Lonchura striata: one gene and its partners. The protein of the gene in region 3 binds, or shares a complex with, the protein of the main gene of each other region. Links are inferred from orthologs where the notes say so. Each region holds a gene or a part of one and is shown on either strand. Other genes may lie near its edges. The genes, in order: IER5, ARPP19 and PPP2R2A.

Evidence for each region.
Region 1: the proteins of PPP2R2A (region 3) and IER5 are in contact, whole or in part, in a cryo-EM structure (PDB 8UO5), measured with the Homo sapiens proteins. The link is inferred for Lonchura striata from reciprocal best matches to the Homo sapiens genes PPP2R2A and IER5. Residues at the interface, in NP_002708.1 of Homo sapiens: Glu91, Ile92, Glu93, Glu94, Asp116, Tyr178, His179, Asp197, Leu198, Met222, Leu225, Thr226, Glu227, Val228, Thr230, Ser247, Phe280, Phe281, Glu283, Ile284, Ser287, Cys334, Tyr337, Glu338, Asn339, Asp340, Phe343, Lys345; in NP_057629.2 of Homo sapiens: Ala7, Arg9, Ile10, Ile13, Ser14, Lys17, Arg25, Gly26, Lys29, Leu30, His31, Lys32, Leu34, Leu35, Val36, Leu38, Val39, Leu40, Arg41.
Region 2: the proteins of PPP2R2A (region 3) and ARPP19 are in contact, whole or in part, in a cryo-EM structure (PDB 8TTB), measured with the Homo sapiens proteins. The link is inferred for Lonchura striata from reciprocal best matches to the Homo sapiens genes PPP2R2A and ARPP19. Residues at the interface, in NP_002708.1 of Homo sapiens: Lys18, Gly19, Ala20, Asp23, Asp24, Asp29, Ile31, Thr45, Asp47, Gly49, Arg51, Val53, Phe55, Val73, Thr76, Gln78, Glu81, Pro82, Glu83, Phe84, Leu87, Lys88, Ser89, Glu91, Glu93, Tyr178, His179, Asp197, Leu198, Asn221; in NP_001293124.1 of Homo sapiens: Lys42, Pro43, Gly44, Ser46, Phe48, Leu49, Arg50, Arg52, Leu53, Lys55, Lys58, Tyr59, Phe60, Asp61, Lys75, Pro93, Asp97, Leu98, Pro99, Pro103, Leu105, Val106, Ala107, Ser108, Lys109, Leu110, Ala111.

The regions. Positions count from the first base shown.
Region 1 is NC_134611.1:2,038,565-2,044,864, reverse strand, and holds IER5 (immediate early response gene 5 protein), read left to right. Parts: upstream 1-4,813; 5' UTR 4,814-4,917; coding exon 4,918-5,622; 3' UTR 5,623-5,711; downstream 5,712-6,300. UniProt on the Homo sapiens protein: Plays a role as a transcription factor. Mediates positive transcriptional regulation of several chaperone genes during the heat shock response in a HSF1-dependent manner. Mediates negative transcriptional regulation of CDC25B expression.
Region 2 is NC_134613.1:12,459,187-12,466,682, forward strand, and holds the start of ARPP19 (cAMP-regulated phosphoprotein 19), read left to right. Parts: upstream 1-4,448; 5' UTR 4,449-4,580; coding exon 4,581-4,625; intron 4,626-6,733; exon of another isoform or gene 6,734-7,090; intron 7,091-7,104; exon of another isoform or gene 7,105-7,250; intron 7,251-7,496. UniProt on the Homo sapiens protein: Protein phosphatase inhibitor that specifically inhibits protein phosphatase 2A (PP2A) during mitosis. Inhibition of PP2A is enhanced when ARPP19 is phosphorylated.
Region 3 is NC_134634.1:2,457,864-2,465,732, reverse strand, and holds the start of PPP2R2A (serine/threonine-protein phosphatase 2A 55 kDa regulatory subunit B alpha isoform), read left to right. Parts: upstream 1-4,796; coding exon 4,797-4,905; intron 4,906-5,533; coding exon 5,534-5,608; intron 5,609-7,869. UniProt on the Homo sapiens protein: Substrate-recognition subunit of protein phosphatase 2A (PP2A) that plays a key role in cell cycle by controlling mitosis entry and exit. Involved in chromosome clustering during late mitosis by mediating dephosphorylation of MKI67.

The DNA of each region.
Region 1 (6,300 bases), on a different chromosome or scaffold from region 3:
CAAATAAATGCATTTTTTCCCCAGGAAACCCAAACCAGTACCATAACCCACTGAAAGATGAGGGGGTCACATTTTTTCCAAGGGAAACAGATGCCTAAAGAAGCTGATAGCTGGGAGTGGGATTTTTTTTCCCCCTCATTGTGTTTGGAGAGGTTGTTGGAGGAGCAGCAGGATATCTGATGGGCAGAGGGACAGGTCACTGTTCTCCAGGGGAGCAGAGGGAAATCCCAGGCCAGTGGCTCAGAAGGAGAGAAGGGAAATTTTAAATCATTTGTGCAGGAGGAATCCCAGATCACTGGTGAAAATTAAAAAAAAAAAAAAAGTGTAGGAAAGAGTCTTGCCTGCCTGGGATAGTAGCACTATGATCTCTGCCATGGGAAGGGGGTTTTAACCCTGGAAAACCCCTTTGCTTTCTAGTACACGGCTGTGCTGCAGGCTCACACCTCACTGTGGTTTTGGGGCGGGTGTCTCAGCGCTCTCAGAAGCCAGGGGAGCTGCTTCCTCTCCTCTGGGTTTAGGTTTGTATTGATTTGTTTGTATTTGTTTCACTTGTGTTTGTTTTTCATTCATCAGCGATTAGTGTTTGGCTCTCTGGGCTGTGTTTTGGGATGTTTCCCAGCTTTTCTGACCTTATCTCCAAGCAAGGATAAAGCAGAGCAGTTGGGAACCCTGGGGGATTAGTTACCAATATCCGATTGTGGCACGTCCAGACTGCATCCACGTGAATCATTGATTTTTCTGGGGAAAAAACCCAACCCAAGACAACCTTCCTCTCTTACTCCTGAGCCCCACATGGGTGCCTTGCAATTAGATGTTTATTCCCATCCAGAAATGAACTCAAGCTGCGGATAGATTCCCATTTGGAAACGTTCTTCCCGGTCCTGTTTTGTTTACGTCAGCAATCACTGGGGGACGTGCCTGGATCTCCCTGGGGTTTTGGCTGTCCTGAAGTTCTGTTTTTGCTCCAGGCAGCTGTTGGTGCCAAGGCTTTTGCCTCAGCACCGCTGGTGGTGAGGGGCTTTTGATGGATTTGTTCACATCCTCCTCTCAGGATGGGTCTAATTCATGAATCCTGGTGCGAATAGAAGAGAGAGGCATCGATGCACGGCAGCAGCACTGGGACAGCCGCTGGTGGATGACTTCAGCGTGTGCTTCGAGGACACCCTAATTTCACTGTCCATCCCAGCTGGAGGGTTTTCCACCTCTTTCCTGCATCCGGCTTCCCCCTGGGGCCTGGGCCGCACATTTGGTGACAGCGAGGAGCTGGCGGGGGGCTGAGGAAGGGGTCAGGCGCCGCTGTCGGAACAGGATCTCGCTAACCACATCCTCATTCCGCGGGGGGCCGTGCTGGGAGCCAGATGGCCGGGCCGGGCCGGGATGGGAAGGGCCGGGACGGAGCTCAGCCAGGCTCGGGGACCGGCAGAGCCGCGATGCTGCCGGAGCTGGGGCTCCCCCAGCATCCCCCGCCGCTCCCGGCCAAGATGCGACCGCACGAATCCCCAGCGAGCATCCCGGCGCCGACCTCCTCTGCTCGGAATTGAAACGCTTCCAAAAAAGCCGGGGGCGTGCGCGCAGCCCTCTGCAATTATTAGTCGTACCACAAGCTGCTTCCTCCCTCCCTCGAGCCGCTTTTATGTCGCATTGTTTTCCTTTCCAGGTGGCCCACCGGGGCTGCCTCCTCGCCACCGCGCCGGCCGCAGCTCTGCTGGCGGAGAGGCCACCTTTGTCTGCCAGCCAGCCCGGCCCTTCCTCCCCCTTCCTCCTCCTCCTCCTGCTCCCGTGCCAGAGCTATTTCGGGAAACAGCAGCTGAGCCGGAGGATTGTTAATTGTTCGTCAAACCCCTTCCAACCCCGCCGGATCACATGCGGAGATTAGAGCGGCCGGTCACACCCTTTCCCTCCGCCTCCTTCTCCTGGATCCCCCCCTGACCCGCAGGGCTGGGGGCGATGTCCCTTCCGCGGGGCGGGCGGAGGGATGGACCGGGGGGTGCATCCAGCTGTGCCCAGCTGTGGGAAGCGCGGCGATGCCGAGCCGCGGCTAGCAGCGGATCGCCGTGCTCGGAGGGCAGCCCCGGGCGCGGGCAGGAGCCTCGGGGCAGCCACAAGGAAGGCAGACAAAGCCACCCCAGGCGCTGACCTCAGAAGCCGCCATGTGACTCGGCCTCAAAGTTACTAAAGCATGACATCAGCCGGGGAGGGAGCGGCAGAGCTGCCACCAAAATATGCCTGCCTTCAACCGGCTGCTCGTCCTCGCCCGTGGATCCCCCCCACTCCCGAGGATAATTGCCATTCATGGTAGTTCCTGCTGGAAAACAAATGGAAAAGATCGCTTTGACACGCAAAAAGCCAGCCTAGTCTTTGGGTCGTTCCCAGGGATAAGAATGTGTCTGTGAAGCAACCCACTTTAGATAATGATATACGTATTGATATAGTGTGTGTGTGCACCTTTGCTTTGGCAAATGTCCTGGACCGTGATTCTGAGATGAGATGTTGTTGTGGAAAAGGAAAAACCATCATCCCACCTCTGCAAAGGGCACGGAGAGCAGGCAGATGTCGAGGCAGAGCTTTGGTGCCCTAGGAATACCGTGCTGATGGTTGTGCCTGACACCAGACGTGGTGTTGGTGGGTGAAACTCGTGGTGCTGGGTGCCAGCTCTCCTGCACCTCTGCCCCTCCCTGCTGGTGCTCTGTCTGAGCACTGAGAGGGACGAGGGATCACTCAGTCCCCATCCCCATCCTGCTAATCCCTGGCCAGAGCCGGGAGGGGCTGCTGGCCCGCCTGCTCCCAGGCAGGGTAGCGGCCAAAAGGCAGTGCCTGCAGAGAAGTGGTGCCTCATGCCATGGGGGTGAGGTGGTGAGCAGCAGAACAGGTCAGTCTGCTCCGATCCAGGCATCTTCACCCCGCAGAGCTCCCACGCTCTGCCTCCTCCACCCGCCTTGGGCTTTTCCCAGCTGGTGTGATGACTTTGCACTGCTGCTTTTAGTCCCCGAGTTGGGATATGCCTAGCTGAGAGATGCATCAAATCTGACTTTCTGACCCTTTGCTGAAGATGCAAGTGCCCAGATCTGGCAAACAGTAGTCCCAGAGCTGGCCTTGCATCTCCCAGGCACACAGCCAGCCCTGTGCCACCAAGGGGACACTGGTGGCGGGTGAAGAGCCGTGACTGCACTCGCAGGCATGCAAGCCCAGAGCTGCCCTGGCTGGTTAGGCTGACCCGAGGGCTCAGGACAGGGTGTTGCTGGCCCTGCGAGGGGCGGGGAGCAGGTTTGGCAGGTCGGGAAAGCCTCGGTTCCCACCGCTGGAGCTCGCGTCCCTCCGGCCTCCCACGCCGGGTGTGGAGGGGACAGCCCCGCTCCCTGCGGCCAGGACAGGCTCTCCCTGCTGTGGGCTAAGCTGGGACCTTGTGTCTGTGGGACTTTTTGTCTGTGGGGGAAGCCAGGCTTGGCTGTTTTGGCCGTGTGGCTGAGAGTGCCCCGCTCGGGTCACTTCAGATGGAGCACGGCAGGTTTGGTGGAGAAGGGCTGGGCATTTTGAGATGTCAACATCCAGGCTGAGATGCTATTGTGTCTGACACCCAGAGAGTGACATTTTGAGGTTTACCATCTGTGTTTGACCAGGAGGAAAACATACATTTGTCCTGAGCACGGTTTTTTTTTTTTGAAGAAGGCTCTTGCTATGTCAACTATGCATTGGTGTGGCCTCATCTTCACTTTTTTTTTTTTTTGTTACCTCTGTGACCCGCCACCCTTTTTTCCTTCTAGAAGGCCAGGACATGGCGACAGGTTGTGCCAACAAAACATCATGATAGCCTGTGGCTTTCCCTTGGGGGAGTTTGTGGATTCATCCCCTGGGGAAAAAAGGGATGGAAGCAAGTTGTTATATGTCATCTGGGAATGGAAACTGATACTCTGGGGCAGCATGTTGAACTTCCTTAATTTTAGGCCCTTTCACTTCTTTTCTGTTTGCAAGTGGTGGTTAGTCCTTGGTGGAAGGAGGAAGGTCTGCACACCAAGCTCTGAAACACCCTCCAAGCTTTCTTGGATGCCTCCCTGGTGCCTGCAGCTGTGTCTGGGGGCTGCATGTGTTGTCTCCTCTGTCCCTCAGCCACCTGGATGATCCTGCCACCAGCTTTCACAGTAAGATTCCAGCTCCCAAACAAGATGCTCCAGTTTGCCGTGGTCCCCATCACACTTGGAGATGCTCTATTTGCCCTCCCCTACAGCCTTTCCCAGCCCTGTTGTGGATCTTCTCTCTGCCCTGGGCTTTCTGGGAGCTTCACTGCCAGGCCCCTGGAGCAGAATTCTGCCTGGCAGCTGGGCAAGCACGGCTTTGTTCCACATCAGGGCAGATTTTCCCTGAAATCCTCACAGACACATTTCACCCTCCAGCCATCACCACCACCAGCTCCTTCTCTAGCGCAGTAAGATCCCAGACAAGGGGCTGAAATTGCGGGAAACGTCCCCAACCTGACAAAACGGAGGCTGCGCTGGGTTGGATTTGTTTTGTTCGGTTTGTTGTCTGTTGTTTTTCCCTCCCCAGGGAAACGTTTCCATCGCTTTGGCCGAAATTCCCCGCGCCGCCCGCGTGGGGTTCCGCGGTGGGCCCCACCCGCGCGGCGCGCTGGCGTTGCCGCTTTAAGAGCCCTCTCCGCGGGGCGAGCTTTCGAACGCGCTGCCCTGCGCCGCCATTGGCCGGAGCGCGCGCGCGGGGGCCAGCCGGCGGTTGGAGCGGCCGGCGGCGCTCCCTGATTGGCCGAGGCGGGGGCGGTATAAAAGGCGGGCGGGCGCGTGGGCTCGCTCAGTCTGCGGCGCGAAGGGGCGGCGTGCGGAGCTGGGGTGAGGCACGGGTCGCCGCTCGGCTCGGGGTTTTAACTGTTTTTTTTTAAATCACCCCCCCCTTCGCCCACCTGCTTTCCCCATGGAGTTCAAGCTGGAGGCGCATCGCATCGTCAGCATCTCTCTAGGCAAGATCTACAGCGCGCGGGGCCAGCGCGGCGGCCTGAAGCTGCACAAGAACCTCCTGGTGTCGCTGGTGCTGCGCAGCGCCCGACAGGTCTACCTGAGCGAGCCGGGCTGCCCGCCCGAGCCGCCCCCCGCGCCCGCCGGCCACCCCGAGGAGGAGCCGCCGCCCCGCACCGCCGCCTGGGCGGCCGAGGAGCCGCCGCCGCCCCCGCAGGACGAGGCGGGCAGGGACTGCCAGGGCCCCCGGCCGCGGCGCTGTTGCTGCGGCGAGAACCGCGGGGGCTGCGCCGGGGCCCCCCCGCCGCCGCACTGCCCCCGCAAGCGGAGCGCCGGCGAGCGCGGCCAGGCGGGCTCCCCGGTGAAGAAGCCCCGCCGCGAGGAGGAGGAGCCGCCGCCGCTGCCACCGCCGCCCTCGCCGCCGTGCGAGCAGGAGGACATGGAGACGGGCAACGTGGCCAGCCTCATCAGCATCTTCGGCTCCAGCTTCTCGGGACTGCTCAGCAAGGAGCCCAAGGGCCGGCGGCGACCGCCTCTGGACGGCGGCGAAGCGGCGGCGGGCACGGCGCCCGCCGAGGCGGCGGCCGAGCCGGGACAGATCTGCTGCGACGAGCCGGTGCTGCGGACCCTCAACCCCTGGAGCACGGCCATCGTGGCCTTCTGATGGCCCGGCCGCAGAGACTGGCTCCCCGCCGCGGGCCGCGGGGCCCGGAGGTGACACCCACCGAGCGCCGCGGGGCTCCGGCGCCGGCCAGACCCGGCGCCCTGCGCCGCCGCACGGGAGGGACCGCGGGGCAGCGGCGGCAGCGCTTCCCCGTTCCCCGCCGGGTCCCGGCTGCCGGCACCCGCCCTGGGAGCGCCCCCGGCCCTGCCCTCCCGGAATTCCCCTTCCCGGCAGAGCCGCCGCCGCCCTCCCCGGCGCCCGGGGGAGGCTCCTCGGCTGCCGCCGACCCCGGGGGCGCCCCCGGCGGGTGATATTTTAAGCTTGGAAAGTATTAAGTTTATTAAATAAAGTCTCTATTTTGGAAAGGTTTAGGTCAGAACTATTACATGGTGCTTTTTAAAAGTGTTTATTGAGAGGAACGAAGTTTACAGACGCTCTGACGGAAAGTCCTTGAGCCTGTTTGTTAGGCTTGGTAACTCCCGGTCTTTGTTGTATAAAGGCTTGGGGCTCCCGTAGGGAATTTTGTACAGTGTTCTCCTTCAGTGATGTATCATGTTTTGTATAAAATGTAATTTCTACGTGTACAACACGTATTAAATATTTTCAAGTGTATGAGCCTAGTTCCTGTTTGTGCCCCACTGGCTCGAGGGGGAGGAGGGCAGGCAGCAGCCGGGGTGT
Region 2 (7,496 bases), on a different chromosome or scaffold from region 3:
ACCAGACTGCAGATTGTTTATTTACTTGCTCATGCATTCAGATCGTTAATTCAATTCACATTTTACTCCCTCAATTTATTTTCTTTCCTTAAGGGCCATTTTAATTTTGCTTTCTGTTATTAGTTTCTCTCACATAAAATTTGCACCCTCCCCCATTTTATTTCTCAAATTGTGTTAAAGGATGTACTGTGCAAACAAATTAGTATTTATATCTCAAATATATGCAAAAGCTATGAAACTTGTACTTTTTGTTTTATTTTTAGATGAGAGGATCTTCATGTAATCCTAAATATTTTTCATAGGTCAATTCCATGTAGGCCACTAGGTGGCCATAGGAAGTTTTACTAGAAATGCTACACTGGGCATATCACTATTTTCCAATATGTGTGTGTATTCCTAAAACAAAACAGTCAGATGAACAGTTTATGCTACGTGTTAAACTGTGTAACTGAGAGAAATAAAGTTAGAAGCATTTGATTATATTTGAGCTATATATTTAATAATGGAAATGAAGCTTTATGACATTTGATGATCTGAGTTTCTCAACTGTCTTACCTTGATTTGTGTTTTTCTTTACTTTGCTGTAGGTTTTTAGAGTGTCAGTAATATGCAAGGTGCCCTTTACCATGTTTATCTGATGAAGACTGGAGAAAGGATGAATGTGCGTCCTGTATATTCAGCACTGCCCTTAGATGAGAGAAGTCAGTGTATCATGAAATCTCCAGGAAGTCTGCCAGGGAGCGTAAGGGAGACTGGACTTTCCAGATGATACTCATCAGCTATCTTGTACATGCAAATGACTGCTTCTCCAGAAGGGCAAAGCTCAGATATTACTGAGTCCTTTCCCCTTGTAGCAGTGTTTTCCACTCTGCTACACCAGGCTTTCAAAGGTTTACCTAGCATTCATTTTAGAGAGAATTGGGGAAAAGTGTACAGGAAGAGATTGTTTGCAGTTTCTAGTAATTTGCCCTTTAAAACTGAGAAACAATTTCTTTTGGTAGCAGAAGAGTCAAACACAGCTGCAGCTGTACTGTGTACAGAACTAAGGTCTGGACTAGGGTATCAAGAGGACGTCCTAGTTTTTGTGTAGCTGCTATTGAGTCATAAGCAAACAGCATGTATCCTCAAACTACTTATTTGTGTCATGGTGCACAGCTTGCTTGCATGCTCAATGAAAAAACAACATGAGGAAAGGACACATTTTTAATGAAAAGTCACCATTAGTAGTAGATTAACCTTTTATTTTGCACTATTATGCAATGTTTGTATCTTGATAACTTTATTTAAATAGACTTCTTCAAGTAATATCCTTTCATTTATTTGCTTTGAATAGCAAAGAAATGTGGATTTTAAATATGTGGTTACTACAAGTCATGTCTAGGAAATAAATTTGTATTCACTTTAATAGTCCAACTACACTTAGTCCCTATATGGATTTGGAATGAAAGTGACCTTGGATTATCTTTGCACAACTTTGAATTTATTAAGTCATTCTCCATTTACAGCTTGATCTGAGTAAACACTTTCCATTAAGGACACACCTGGAAAAATGCTGGATGCTCATAAACCATGAACTAAATTCTGCATGACCTTCTAAGCTTAAGACTAGACTAATTTTTGAGAGACCGTTGGTTTCTCCTCTTTATTCCTCAACAGGCTCAACCATATACAACTATTTTTTTAAAATGTTTGAGTGGTTTATAAGGGCCTCCAGTGATGGCTGCTACAACTAACCTCTTCCAGTGATAAATTATACTTATCGTGACAAAGTATAACATTCAGTTATACTGAGTATATACATTTAGTTAAAGTTATATAAGGATTTATAACTTCCAACTAAATGTTGCTGAAGTTAAGTAATACTTAGTCTTTTCACTTACAAGCAAGCAATTTAGTTCTTGTATCTCCCTTCTCAGTCTTTTTTTTTTTTTTTTTAACTAGCACAACCTCAGACTCTTCGGTTAGCCTTTATTTTGTGCACCTCTTGTCATTCTGGTCTTTGCTTTCTTTTGGACTGAATCAGTCTTGAAGTGTGTGAGACTGGACACAGCACCCCAGTCAGGGCCTCTCTGTGCCAGTCAGACTGAAATAATTGGTTGATAAAACATGAATTAAAGTCCTCTTCATGCATCCTGTTGGAATACACTGATTTTCAGTATCAGGAGATGTCAGCTTGCATTCATATGGTTACCCAGTATAAGAGACATCCTACCTGCTTTTTCCCAAAATAGTAGCTCTCCTTATTGAACTTTATTCTCTCACTACCCAAGATTTTATGTGCTGAACACAGCACTGCTGTTTGAAGTATTGATAGCTGTGTCCAACAAACTTGCATCCACCACATTAAAGTTTAATCTAATTAAGTTTCCCTAATTTGCATGGGAAAGTGTCAGAAGCGTTATTAATGCCAGAAGGCATCTGGAACTTCATCCACCTTCACCCACTTCTCCACATGGTCTATTTCCTTTTTCTTAAAGGAAAGATGATTGTGTGAAACCCTTGTTCTTAACTGTGAATTCCTGCCTAGCTACTCAGTTTCTTTTGAGTGCTTATTTTAGATGATTTTTCAAGTCGTTATTGACAGCATAATTATATAGCTTGTATTCTGTCCTCCCCATACTCTAATCCAAATTCAGGAAAAGTGACTCCTGGAAACCCATTCATTTTTTACAGGTTCCTATATGAATCACCAGTAATTAACTGGAGATTGCTTCTGTCATCCTGTAATCTCTTAAGGAAATTCTTTCGTCCAAGTTGAAAATATTTACCAAAACTAATTAAAGTAACCTGCAAACCAGTCATTCCTTATTCCAGCTAGAGGCCATGCTTAGTTTGTTACACTATTTACCTTGATCATGCCAGATTGAACAAAAAGAAACATTAAACACTTTAGTCTTTAAAAGTTTTGTTCAGTAATATTTTGGTACCCCCTTGTCTTCATGATCTGCTTCCTTAAAAACTGACCTAGTTTCTGTAGCCTGCTTTCCTGTATTTGAGACCGCTGAAGAACCTGGGCTTTTCCTGAGGTTCTGAATTTATCTCCCATCTTTGCTCTGCATTATGTTCCCTTAAAGAAATAACTGCATTAAGGAGCTGCTGGATCCTTAAAACTGTTTTCCCTCACATTAATTTCCTAAGAGATTTGAAAGAAATTCCTGGAGTTTGCATTCTTGTCTGCTGTCACTGCTTTGTTCTTCTTTTTAAAATTTATGAACTTCATCCTTTTTATGATCATTTTTCTATGTTGCTATGTTTTTCACACTTTCAGACCATTTCTCCCTGATTTTGCTAGAAGCAAATGTGGCACACCCACCACTATCATGGCTTTTTTCATCATTAGGAAAAAACCCACTGGTGCGTTCTATGATAATTTTTCTGTGCAATCTGCCTGGCTGTATCCCTTTCTGAATGAGGGATATGCCCATTCCTTGGGTTCCCCACAGCTATGTGATGCTGGTCTCTGGATGAATCTCCCAGGTGCACAAAAAACCTCTTCCACCTACTGGCTTGTGGGGCATTCAGTACAATTCAGCTTTGACAAAATCGTTGACAGCTTCATCTTTCACAGACTTTTCTGACCTGGCTCCTGTGTTCTTCCCGACCATAATCGCACAAAGCCTGTCCTGGCCAGTCCCTCCTGAGCTGTGCTAATCCATACCTTGCTGTTCACATAATCCATTTATTTAGGGACCCCTAAAGGATTATTAATGGTGGGCTATTTAAACTGCTCCTTTACCACAGAAGGTTCCATTTCAGCCAAGAACCACACAGTGATGGGGAGGGAATAAAATACTCTGTATAAGTTGATACTGTGCTGTTAAGAAGTTCCAATGGACTGAGCGTTCATGTCCTGTCAGCTGCTGTCTGGGATTCGTGAGATCCTCGAGTAATGCTGCTGAGGACTCGGCTCCCTGTATTTTGATCACTAGAAGTGGCCAAAAGAGCCGAGTTTAGCTCGGCAGTGGAGGTTTTTCCCTTTGCCCCGATCTGAGAAGGGGCGGCCACGCAGGCTGGGGTCAGGGGGCTGTGGGGAGGTGAGGTGAGCTGGGGCCAGTGCGGGGACCAGGGGAATGGCCTTAAGCGGAGTCTGGGGCGAGTCACATTAGGTATTAGAGGAATTTATTTCACTGTTCGGCTGGTCAGGCTGCCCAGGCAGGCGCTGGAGTCACCATCCCTGGAGGTGTTTAAAAGACGGATGGCTCTGGCGCCGGGTGACGTGGTTTAGTGGTTACAGTGACGCCCGTGAGGGTGGACTGGACCACACTGAACGTCCTTCCAACCCTGACGTTTCTGTAATTCTGATTCTAACGGGAGGGGCACCGGACCCGGGCCTCGAACCCGCGACCCCGGACGTGACGCGCGGGGCGCAGGCGGATCCCGCCCCCGCTCCCCAGCCCGCGCGCGGGGGCCGAGGCGGAGGAAGTCTGGCCCCGCCGCCGCTCCGTCGCGCCCGCCGCCGCCATCTTGTGCGAGAGGAGGCGGCAGCAGCAGCAGCGCGGAGGAGCCGCGGCCGCGCCTCCCGCCCGCCTCCTTCCCTCGCTCCCTGCTTCCCTCCTTCCCGGCCCCGCTGCCGCGCCGCCATGTCTGCCGAGAGCCCCGAGCCCGCCTCGGCCGAGGAGCAGAAGGTGGGTGGCCGGGCCGAGGAGCGCAGGGAGCCCCGCGGGGCCTCTCCCGCCTCCATCGGCGCGGCCGGGCCTGTCCGTCCCTCAGCGCGGGGAGCCCCGCGGGCCGCAGCGGCTCCGGGCCCGGCCGCGCTCAGAGCAGCGCCCGCCCCGGGCTGCGGAGCGCGGCCGGGCCGTGTGGGCTGCGGCGGAGGGGCCGCAGCGCCAGGATGGCTCGGGAGGGCCGTTCCCGCTGCGGGCGCTGTGCGCTGGCCCTGCGGCCCGACGTGCCGGGCCGGAGGCGCTGCCTCGCTCGTTCCTCGGCCCCGGCCCCGCTCCCTCCGGCCCTCCGCGGGCCGGCCTGCGTGATGGCTTCGGCTCACGGCGGGATGGACACCAGCCCTGATCCACTTCTAAAAAATGTTCAGTTTTTAGTGTAAGCAATGCAGGAGAAGAAATCCCCAAATCACAGCGACCGTGACCTGTGCTAGTTAAGGCTTTTAGAAAGAATAACTGGCTGGGTTATCTTGTGGCGTCCCTCTTATGCCATCTCTGTAACTAATAATTGTGCCATTGCTCAAGTGGGGTTTGGTTTCACGGCTGTGCTGTGACTTTAAGAAGCCGTTTGTTTTTTAGTCTTGTCATTGCTGTGGGAGCCCGGTTGCAATCCCCGCGGCTATGATCCGGAGAAGTTATGAAACACAAGTACTGCTTTGAAGGACGCTAAAAGAAAAAGCTTAATCTACATCAGCTATTAAGTTTTTGTTTAATAATTTACAATTTGTAATATGAGTTAGTCGCACAGGTAGAGCTTTGGGGATTAATATGGAATGATACCTTTTCAGTAGGTGCAGTAATCAGAACCAGCTTCTTGTCAGCTCTGTAATCTGCTCTTAAATAGGTGTGTTCTGCAGCGTGACTGAACGTTCATGCTAGGTAGGCTGCTGAAGGGATACTGTTCCTGTTCAAAGCCTATAAAAATAAGTCCCTGGCCTATGCAGCGCTCCTAGAATAGCTCTGTAATAAGAGCATAGTTAAACATGTGGCAGCAAGTTTATTGTAATGCCTTCTAGGGTGTTCTGATGAAGTCAGGTGACAGGCTGATTTTCCTAACGAACTTCCAGACTGAAGTCTTGAAATGTCTGCTGGGAGAAATTACCTTTCACTTGAGAGATGGGAGGTCCTTGCTGCTATCCTAATTTAGTTTTATTCTGGTAAAGTGTTCAAGAAAAATTATATAACGTCAATAAAATAAAACTTGGATTATGTCCTGGTCTGATACTGTGATATCAGTGCTGTTATGACATTGCAATATTAACCTCCACTAAAGCTATTTGTCTGGGTAGGCAGAACTGAGCATTCACTCGGTTAATGCTTGGCTCTGAAACACTTACATAAACAACCCATTTTGCAGTACTTATTCATGTATGCTTCAGAAAGATGCCGCCCCTAAATGAACTTTGAGACAGTGTTTTCATGATCAGAGCTTTTTTCTAAACTTTCTGACATGCTGTAAGAAGCTTGTGCCGAGCAAGAAAGGTTTTTAACTACAGTGGTATAAACTGAAAATCTGCCAAAGACCAGCGTTTCCTGTTCTTGGTGTGAAAACTCAGGACAGTGGTGGGGGAAAGTTCAGAAACAAAGAAACTTTGGACATAGGAGAACGTATGTCTGGTTGAGCCTGTATTTTTCAGGAAGACCTTGGAGGTGGTGCATTTTGTTGCTGAATTGGTCTTTGCCACATTAGTTTGCTGTGGGGTTGTGCTGTTGCCGTGTTTTTTCCCATTTTCTGCTTTGCACTTTGAAGTCTTCTACTAAAGATGAGCCATTCACACCAGAGTTTTAAAAGGCTGATGGCTTTTTTTTTAAGTCATGCAGGTCACTTGTCCAGCAGATACAGAACTTAATGCTGCTGGAACCTCTGCAAAGATTAAAATCAAAAGCTGTCTTTAGGTGAGTTAGGTAACTACTGCCTTCCTGGTAGATAATTTTAATGACTTCATGAGCTGTGTCATATTCCTGTAGAGAACTAAAATTATAACTTTTGTGTGGTTGTCACTTGGAAGAAGAGCGTGGTGTATCTTGATTTCTGCCCACTCCCCAGTCATTTGTTAGTCACTTGGTTGTTGCTTCTGTAATTCAAGGGAGAATGTTCTGAATGTGGGAGTGGCTTGGACTAAAGTCTTCGGGCTCAGCAGCCCATCTCTGAGAATGCTCAATACCATTTAGTCCTCAGAAGAATATAAGATCAGGACGTGCAGCCGGTGATCAGCTCAAGAAAACTCTCCGAGATCTCAGCAATCTGGTTTGAAAGGCTTCTGAGCTGCAAATGAACACATCGAATTGCTCTCTGAATCCAAATTCTTGGCACTCCCTGTATCCTTCAGCAAGGAGTTCTGCAGCTTAACTGTGTTTGACGTGAAGAACTGTTGTCTTAAGTATATTTTGAACCTGCCGTCAGCTAGTTTTGTTTGGCACCCCGAGTCGTGGTACTGAAATTCTTTAGTTTGTGTTCTGTGGGTTTTTGAGTCTTTGTTGTTGTCGGTCATCAAGAAGAAGCGGCCGTGCTCTGTATCCTTCTGAGTTGCATTGATGCATAACACGATGTGTTTGTTTGGATTGCCTGCTGTGCCATAATTTGTCAGCCCTGTGAGTTTGCATAAATGTCTCCTTTGATGCACCGTGAATGCATATTTATATAAGCTATTTATTGTTGGTCCTTTTATCTTAAAAAATACTTCCTTTTGGCAAAAATACGTCTTTTGGCTTTTAGTGGCAAAATGTACCTCCTCAAATATTTTGTCTGTTGGCTTAGCAGTGAGTACCCAGTGATTCAGCATTAGGTGTTCCAAGTGTTGAGCTGAAAGGATTACTTTTGAGCAAATCCAGTCTGTG
Region 3 (7,869 bases):
TCCTTGTTCCTGTAAGTTCCTCCCACTTCCCAGAGGTCATCTTCAGTCTCAGCTGAAGGAGTTTTTGTATAGAGTAAGAATTAGTCATTAAAGCATGATGGGAGTAGATAAATGCCCATTAAAGCTTTGTGCTGTTGGAGGCTGTGTATAAATTTAACACCATACAGTTACAATCTCCCCAGAGCACCTCAACAAATGCTCAAGCTCCAGAAAAATCCAGGTGTGTGCTCACAAGCTTTGAATCAGGGCTATGGAACACACACTGCCTAATTTGAACCAATCATTCATAGCGTGAACCTCTGAACTACCAAGCAAGTGAACACCCAGGCAAAGGTTGTGGTTCCCAAGATGTCTCACTAATTGCTATGGCTGTAATTTAATGTTATTTATTTATTACGCTCCACTATTTTCTGTAGCTGTTGGTTCACAACAAAAAACTGAAGTGTTTGAGTTACAATCCATCCTCCTAGCACCATGATATTCAATATTTTCTAAGAGAAATTTTATTGTAATTATAAGCTTTCTACTAAGGCTTCATTAATTTCTCTTACAGAGCTAATTGCAGGTCTCTTTGCCATATTTAATTTTTTTTAACAACAAAAGTTCTTGAACCAAGGCTTATTCTGCTATGAGTACAAATTCTGCAGTAATTATACAAAAGACAATGGATGGATTGGACTAGATCTGCAAATTTTCCTGCTAAACAGTTGCAGGACAATTCTGCTTACGTTGAAAAGAGTATGTTTAAAGAATTAATTTAATTTATTAATTAAATTCAGAATTTAAAGAATTCTGAAAAGAGAGGAATGCCAGCTTTCTTGCTGAATTTGGTATAAAGTAAACATGGCCACAAATTTGTAGAATTGAGTGAATTTGCTCTTGAGCTATGGGAAATGTGGACTGGGATGCTTGGGACCAGGGAGTTTGTTTTCGTTGTGATTGTTTCCAAACTTGCAGTGTTTTTGGGTTGCTCTCAAAACAACCCAAGCAAAACACTTGGTTACAGAGATTTCCAAACCTGGGTAAGTTGCAATTCTTTAGAACATCCCATATATGCTGAATGTTCTTTCAAATGTTATTGTTATTTCCAAGATTGATTTATTTGCCTGTGCAATTTTTTTTCTATCATGGATGCAGAGACAAATCAGAATTCCAAAATAACTTGTAATTTGGGCCAGCTGTGGGTTTCTGGTGGCAGCCTGTCTTTTTGTATTCATTTGTGGTATTTAGTTCCTACAGCTCTGTTTCATGGTGGACTTGACAAGCAATTCAATGGTCTTTTCATTTATAAAAGCATCCTCTTAGGTGTTCAGAGATGGAAATGTAGAAATCAGTGTATGGGAGGGTTTTGGAGGCTTGTTCCAAGTCACATTTCAAGTTTGTGGTAGCGCTGGGTTTGCAGGATGAGCTTATGAATCTCCAAGTGAAATCTGGATTAGCAAGATCTACCCAGCCCAAGAAGAATATGTTTGCACAAACATCTTTTAAGGGAAACTGATGACTTTCACAAGATCTTAAATAGATTGTACTGAATTAATTATCCCAGTCCTGTAGTTAACTACAGATGAGACAGTAACTGGGACCCAGCAAGCTAAAAAGGAGCCTCCATCCCTCCCAAGCCAGCAGGAGCTGAGCCAAGCTGGGCTCGGCTGAAAGCCTTTCTTTGTGGATCTTGCTGGCTGTCAGTGTGAAAGGTGGATGGAGGCTAAAAATGGCTCAGGAGCATGGCCGGTGTATGCAGGGAATAGCAATGAGAACAGAGTGAAATCAGAGACCGAGCCCTGGACGTTGTGGAAAGCATCCAAGGGGGTGGAAAATGTGCAAGCAAACAGGTTCTGTGTGCCTGCTGCACGGGCAAATGGCAGGAGGGAGCAAAGGGAAGAGAGGGGGGAAAACACCAAAACCAAAGCACAAGCGAAAGGGAGATGATCTCAGAAATTCAAAGAGAAGGAAATCAGAAGCCTGAAAATAATCTTTCCAGAAAAGATGAAATATCTCAGAATGAGAAGTCCTGGAATAAAGTACAGTTTGCATTTTTTGCTTGCTTTAAATTCTTCCCTGAAGGATTACAGACATGCAAGATGCACAACCTGAGGGATTATCAGGGAAATGTTCTTCACCCTGTAGGGAATGGGCACGGCCCAAGGCCGCCAGAGCTCCAGGAGCGTTTGAACAGCACTCCCAGGGATGCAGAGTGGGATTTTGTGGTATCTCTGCCGGGCCAGCAGCTGGATCGATGATCCTGGTGGATGCTTCCCAACCAGCTCAGGATATTCGGCTTCATGAAGGGCGAGCCTGCGGGAGAGGGGTCAAGGAAGGAAGCTGTTCCTGCAGGGGAGTCCGGGCGGCGGTGGTGGCGGACACCGCAGCACGGAGGGGCTGGGAGCGGGCGATGGCGGCGGCCCCTCCATGAGGGCGGGCAGGGGCCGCGCTGAGGGGCGGCAGTCCCCCCGTGGAGGCGGCCGATCGCTCCAGCCTGAGGGGCGGTAACACCTCCATGAGAGCGGGCAGGGGCCGCGCTGAGGGGCGGCAGTCCCCCCGTGGAGGCGGCCGATCGCTCCAGCCTGAGGGGCGGTAACACCTCCATGAGGGCGGGCGGGGGCTGAGCCGAGCGAGGGTCGTTAGCCCCGCCATGAGGGACACAGCCTCACCATGGGGGTGACTGACGCCGCGCTGAAGGGCGAGTGGAACCGGGCTGAGGGCGGCCGATCGCTGCCGAGCTGAAGCAGCGGCACCCCCGCCATGAGGGCTAACAGGAGCCAGGCACGGACATGGCGGCACCGCCCGCCCTCCTGAGGGCGGCTCGCTCCCGCCCCGCGCTGACGTCACCCCCAGCTCTGCCGGCGCCATCTTGGACGCTCATCGCCGGGGGGGCCGGAGCGGGGCCGCCCCAGCCCCGCCGCGGCCGCCGCCGCCTCCTCCTCCTCCTCCTCCTCCTCCTCCTCCATCCGCCGCCATCGCCGCCCGCCGCCGCCGCCCGCCCCGCGCCGCCCGCCCCGCCCGCGCCGCCCGCTCCGCCCGACCCGCCGCGGCCGCTATCGCCAGCACAACATGGCAGGTAAGGGCAGCCTGCCCCCCTGCCCCGGCGTGGCTCGGGGGACTCTCCCCGCTGCCTCCCGGGCCGCCTCTCCTATTCCGACTCGCTTGCGCCTTGCTGGTTGTGGGGTGGCTTTTTTTTTTTTTTTTTTTTTTTTTTTTTTTAGCCTCTCGTGTGGGAATTCGTGCTTTGCTCCCACCCACCCCTCCTTCCCTCCGTTCCCCGGGAAAAGAAAAAAAAAAAAAAAAACATGGAAGAAGCAAGGTGGAGCGGGAAGTGGTGTGTTTTGGAGTTGAGCTTGCAGGCAGGGTGGGTCTGCTGCCTTTTCGTAGAATCATGGAGTGATTTGGGTGGGAAGGGACCTTAAAACCGGTCCAGTTCCACACCCTGGCATGGGCAGGGGCACCTTCTGCTATCCCAGGTTGCTCTGAGCCTCATCCAGCCTGGCCTTAGACAATTCCAGGGATCCAGGGACAGCCACAGCTGCTCTGGGTAACCTGTGCCAGGGCCTCCCCACCCTCAGAGGGAAGAATTACTTCGCAATATCCCAGCTCAACCTACTCTTTCAGTTTGAACCCATTCCCCCTTGTCCTGTCACCACATGCTCTGGTAAAGAGTTTCCCCCTTGAGGCTTTAGGGTCGGTGCTTGTAGTTATTTCTCTGCCGTGTACAGAGAGGTTCCAGGTGCAGGCGGTGTCCAGATTGCAGTCGCACCCTTCTGTAGGGAGCAGCCTCTGAGCATCTGTAAATGCCACTGAAATTTGGCACAGGGTGTGATTAAACAGCACAGGTCTCGCCGTGTTTTCTTTCCCATTCCTTCCTCTGCTTACTCCCCATTTCACATCCCCAAGTGCTGTTGGTAGGCTTGGGAATGTGTGTGCAGAAAGGATCTCTTCCCTCTTACTTTTCCTTGCATTTTCTTCATTTGGAAATGTATTCATCCCCCTCCTCTGCACGTGAATTGTCTTTTCAGTGCTTTGCATGTGGAGGAGCAAAGCATGGGAGGCTTTGTGAGGCATGTGCTTTGCCTTTCCCCCCTACACCATATGCACATGCTCCACCCTCCTCTTGCCGTTTTAGTCGTGGGGGGGGGAAAGTGCCAACTTGGTTCAAGTAAATTTTATGGAAAAGAGCTCGAAGAAGCAGGAGCAGTGATTCTCTCCGAGCTGTTCCCTTTAAGTGCTGCTATGGTGCCAGCCGCTAAATGACAAACGAAGAAGTTGAAGAGAAGAAAATGGGTTGTAGGATTTTGGGGGAATGATGGGAGGAGGGAAAGCATTTTGCCATCTCCTGCATAGATGGGTTCTGTTGCTTGCTTTCACCTCCTCAGGTTGTGCATCTTGGATGTCTGTAATCCTTCAAGGAAGAATTTAAAGCAAGCAAAAAATGCAAACTGTACTTTATTCCAGGACTTCTCATTCTGAGATATTTCATCTTTTCTGGAAAGATTATTTTCAGGCCTCTGATTTCCTTCTCTCTGAGTTTTTTTGCTCCCCTTAACTTGGGAAGAGTCTCCTCCTGTATTCTTTGTTATCTCCAAAGCCCTACCAGAGCTCGGGATTAATGTGTAAATGCCATCTGTTGCTCAGCCGGTTTGAGTTGTGTGGAGGAAAAGTTCCATTTTGACAGTGGCTTTTGGGAAAAAAAAAAAAAAAAAAAAACCAACAAAAAAACCAACCAACCGAGGCAAGCCCATTTCTGGCTCTTCCTGTATGTCCTCAGCCCTGCAGTGATTTGCTCAGAATGAAATGCAAAAGAAATGGGTGGTGATTTTTGGTGTGTGTTTTTGTGGCACGGTTCAAATGAATCACTGCCTTCAGCCGAGGCAGTAATGTTCCTGAAGTTTTCTCTCCGATCCGTTTTCTATGGTAGTAGAATTTGTCCCCCTCCGATTGCTTGTTTGCTTTTCTGCTCGGATTTGCTGCTTTTTTTTTTAGGCTGATAATTGCTTTCATTACTTCTGCGAAGAGACTCTAAAATTGTGGTAAAATTCTTTTTCTTTAGCCTTGAGTGCTTAGGGTCGGTGCAGTAGGTTTGTGAAAGGAGGAAATGAATTGTGTGCTTGGTTTGTATTGGACAGGAGATTGAAATTTTTTAAAAAAGCACAGCTCTGATAGTTGATATTTAAGCTGTTTGTGTGTGTGTGTGTTTAGGGGGGTTCTGACTCCTCGAGTAGGAAAAAGTTTTGTGTGAAACACAGCAGTTCCTGCACTTGAATTTTAAATTCGTAGTTGATGGTGCTTAGTCCAGCAAGCTTTGAGTGAGTGAAGCTTTTACACTGGTTGTGCTTCCCTGTTTTTGACAAACAGTGCATTGAAGGCTGACAAAAACAATATCCAAAGGAAAAAGGTGGGGAGGGTGGTGTGTGATTGTGCCTCAGCACTGCTGAGGAAGTGGGCGTGCACAGGCTCTGAAATGTGCAATCTGGAGCCATTGTGTGCTTGTGCTGCTGCTCTTGGGGGGGCTCGTTTTTATTGAATTGTTTTCAATTTTCAGGAGCTGGAGGAGGAAATGACATTCAGTGGTGTTTTTCTCAGGTGAAAGGCGCTGTAGATGATGATGTAGCAGAAGGTAAGAGTAATACTTTTTACTGTTTTCTAACTTTTTAACCATTCCTTAGGTGGGGAGATGTGAATGCAGTCAGTAAAATATCCCAGTGCTGCTAAGTGCTCGTTGAGCAAAGCAAATGGACATTTCATATGTATTCCCATATCCAGATTCAGGTTTAAACTGTGATTTGAAAGTACCATTCAGCATTCTTGTAAAAAAGTTCAGGCTTCCTAAGTTATTTTTGCTGGAATTGTTTTCTAACATTGCTAAGATTTTTCTGATTTTTTGGCTTTTGACTTGTGTTTTTTCTTAATCTTCAAAATGGGGAATGTGTTACTTAAATTCCACAAGGAGGTGTTGTTAGAATTAATATTTGTACTCTTTGAAGATCTAAGTACTGCATGAAGGAATTGTCCCAACATTTCTAGCTCCTATTAACAAGAGGCAGAAGAAATCTGCGTATTTGTGCATGCCTACTTAGTATATAAGGAGCAGGTTTGGGTTTGAAATAATGCTGAAAATTGTCTGAAACTTTTCCAAGCTGCCAGTGACAAGTGTCATGTTACACTAAGATGGCTGCCTCTGAATTTCACTGCAAAAACTACTGTTTGGGCTTTTTTCCCTTGGATTTTGGATCATTGGAGGAATGATGCTTTTTTCTGTGCTGGAGAGCAGAATCTCTTCTGTGATCATTCCCGAGGAGAGGTCCCCTGACTTCTGAATTTCTTTGGCCATAAAGTCCTGTTTGCAACAAAGCAGCTTTTAAGATCATGAGTTAAAAGTTTTCTTTTGCAAGTAGTTGGCCTTGTCACTTATGTAATTCCTGTTTTTTTTTATTTTTCTTGCATATCTTGAATGCTCTGACATAGAAGTGAGATTAATGTTATATTTAGAAAAGCAGTAACTACAGTTTCCATTATTTCCCTGCTTGACATGTGGTTCAGATTAGCTTCCAAAGGCCAAAAGAAAAGATTGGTATAAACATAACTGAGTTGTTTTTATTTATTAGCTGCAGCATGTGGCAAACGATGCACTGAGGCTTCTGTTGTTTGCAAGTTGAAATATGTTTTTTGGAAATGAGAAAGCTGTACAGTTTCAAGTTTATTTTTAAATTCTTCAGGAAGTAGATTTTAAAGCTTGAACTCAAAGTGCTGTTAAATGTGGTATATTTTTTTTCCCTGACAGATTTAAAATTTTGTAACCTTTGTTTTATTTATGTATCATACTAAATCCTTAATAAATACAAGTATTGAAGAAGTTGTGGTTGTGGTGAAGTTGTGGTGCTTGCAAATAATTCTTCATTAAAATAGACGTTGGTATGCTTCTAGTAGTAATGAACTTATATATAGGTATAGAAAAGTAGTCTTTACAGGGATTTGGAAATGTAGAAGTGAGGAAATAGGAAGGAAGGACAGGCTGAGCTGTTTTAAGTGTTGCACTTGGTGTTATGAAAGGTGCCTTGCCAGCCTTGTGCCTCCTGCCAGGCTGGGAGCTGCGCTGAGCATTGCTGGAATCCCGGGGTGGACTTCTGGGAAGCCTTTGAGGGAATTAACTGGCTTCAGTTTCAGCAAGCCAGGCAGCTTGGTTCCTGCAGCATTGTAAGAATCTCCATTTTTTGGGTTATAGACAGTGTAGCCTTCTGATTCTGTGACCCAAAGAGTGAAAAGAAATTTTCTTTCATTGTCAGCTATACCTGACTTAGAATGAGTCTTGAGGTCCAAAGTGTATTATACTGTAAGATGGTGTGAAACTGAACTGCCTAGGGAGAGATCCCAAGTATTATTGATGGTGTGCTTGGCTGTAATTAGTGTGTTGAACTGAATTTCTCTCCTGTTCCCATGTATTTGGCTCCCACAGTCCATGCTGGAAGTTGGTGAAAGCAGTTGTTTATATTGATTTGTTGTACATCATAATGCCTCGCTGTAATTCTGTTGGAAGCGTTATGTATCAGGATGGTTGCATTTGTCCTTTTCCTAGTGATATTTCTGGCTTTAAGGTTCATATCAGTGACCTGGAGCCTTGTGTGGCTCTTGCACCAACTGGAGCAGCAGCCTCTGGTCTTTTGGAATACCCAGTGACAAACTGGCAGTGGGTGCAAGTGCAGTCTGAGAACCTTTTTAATTCCCTGCCTTTCCTTCTGCTTTCTTGGGCCAGGCCAACTGTGAAAGCTCAAGGAAATCTTACTGTCTCAAGCTTTAATGACTCTTTAACCACTCTGATCTGCCAGAGAGCAGCTCTGGACTCCAGTCATGCCTGTGGTGAGCACAGTACCAATTTGTGTA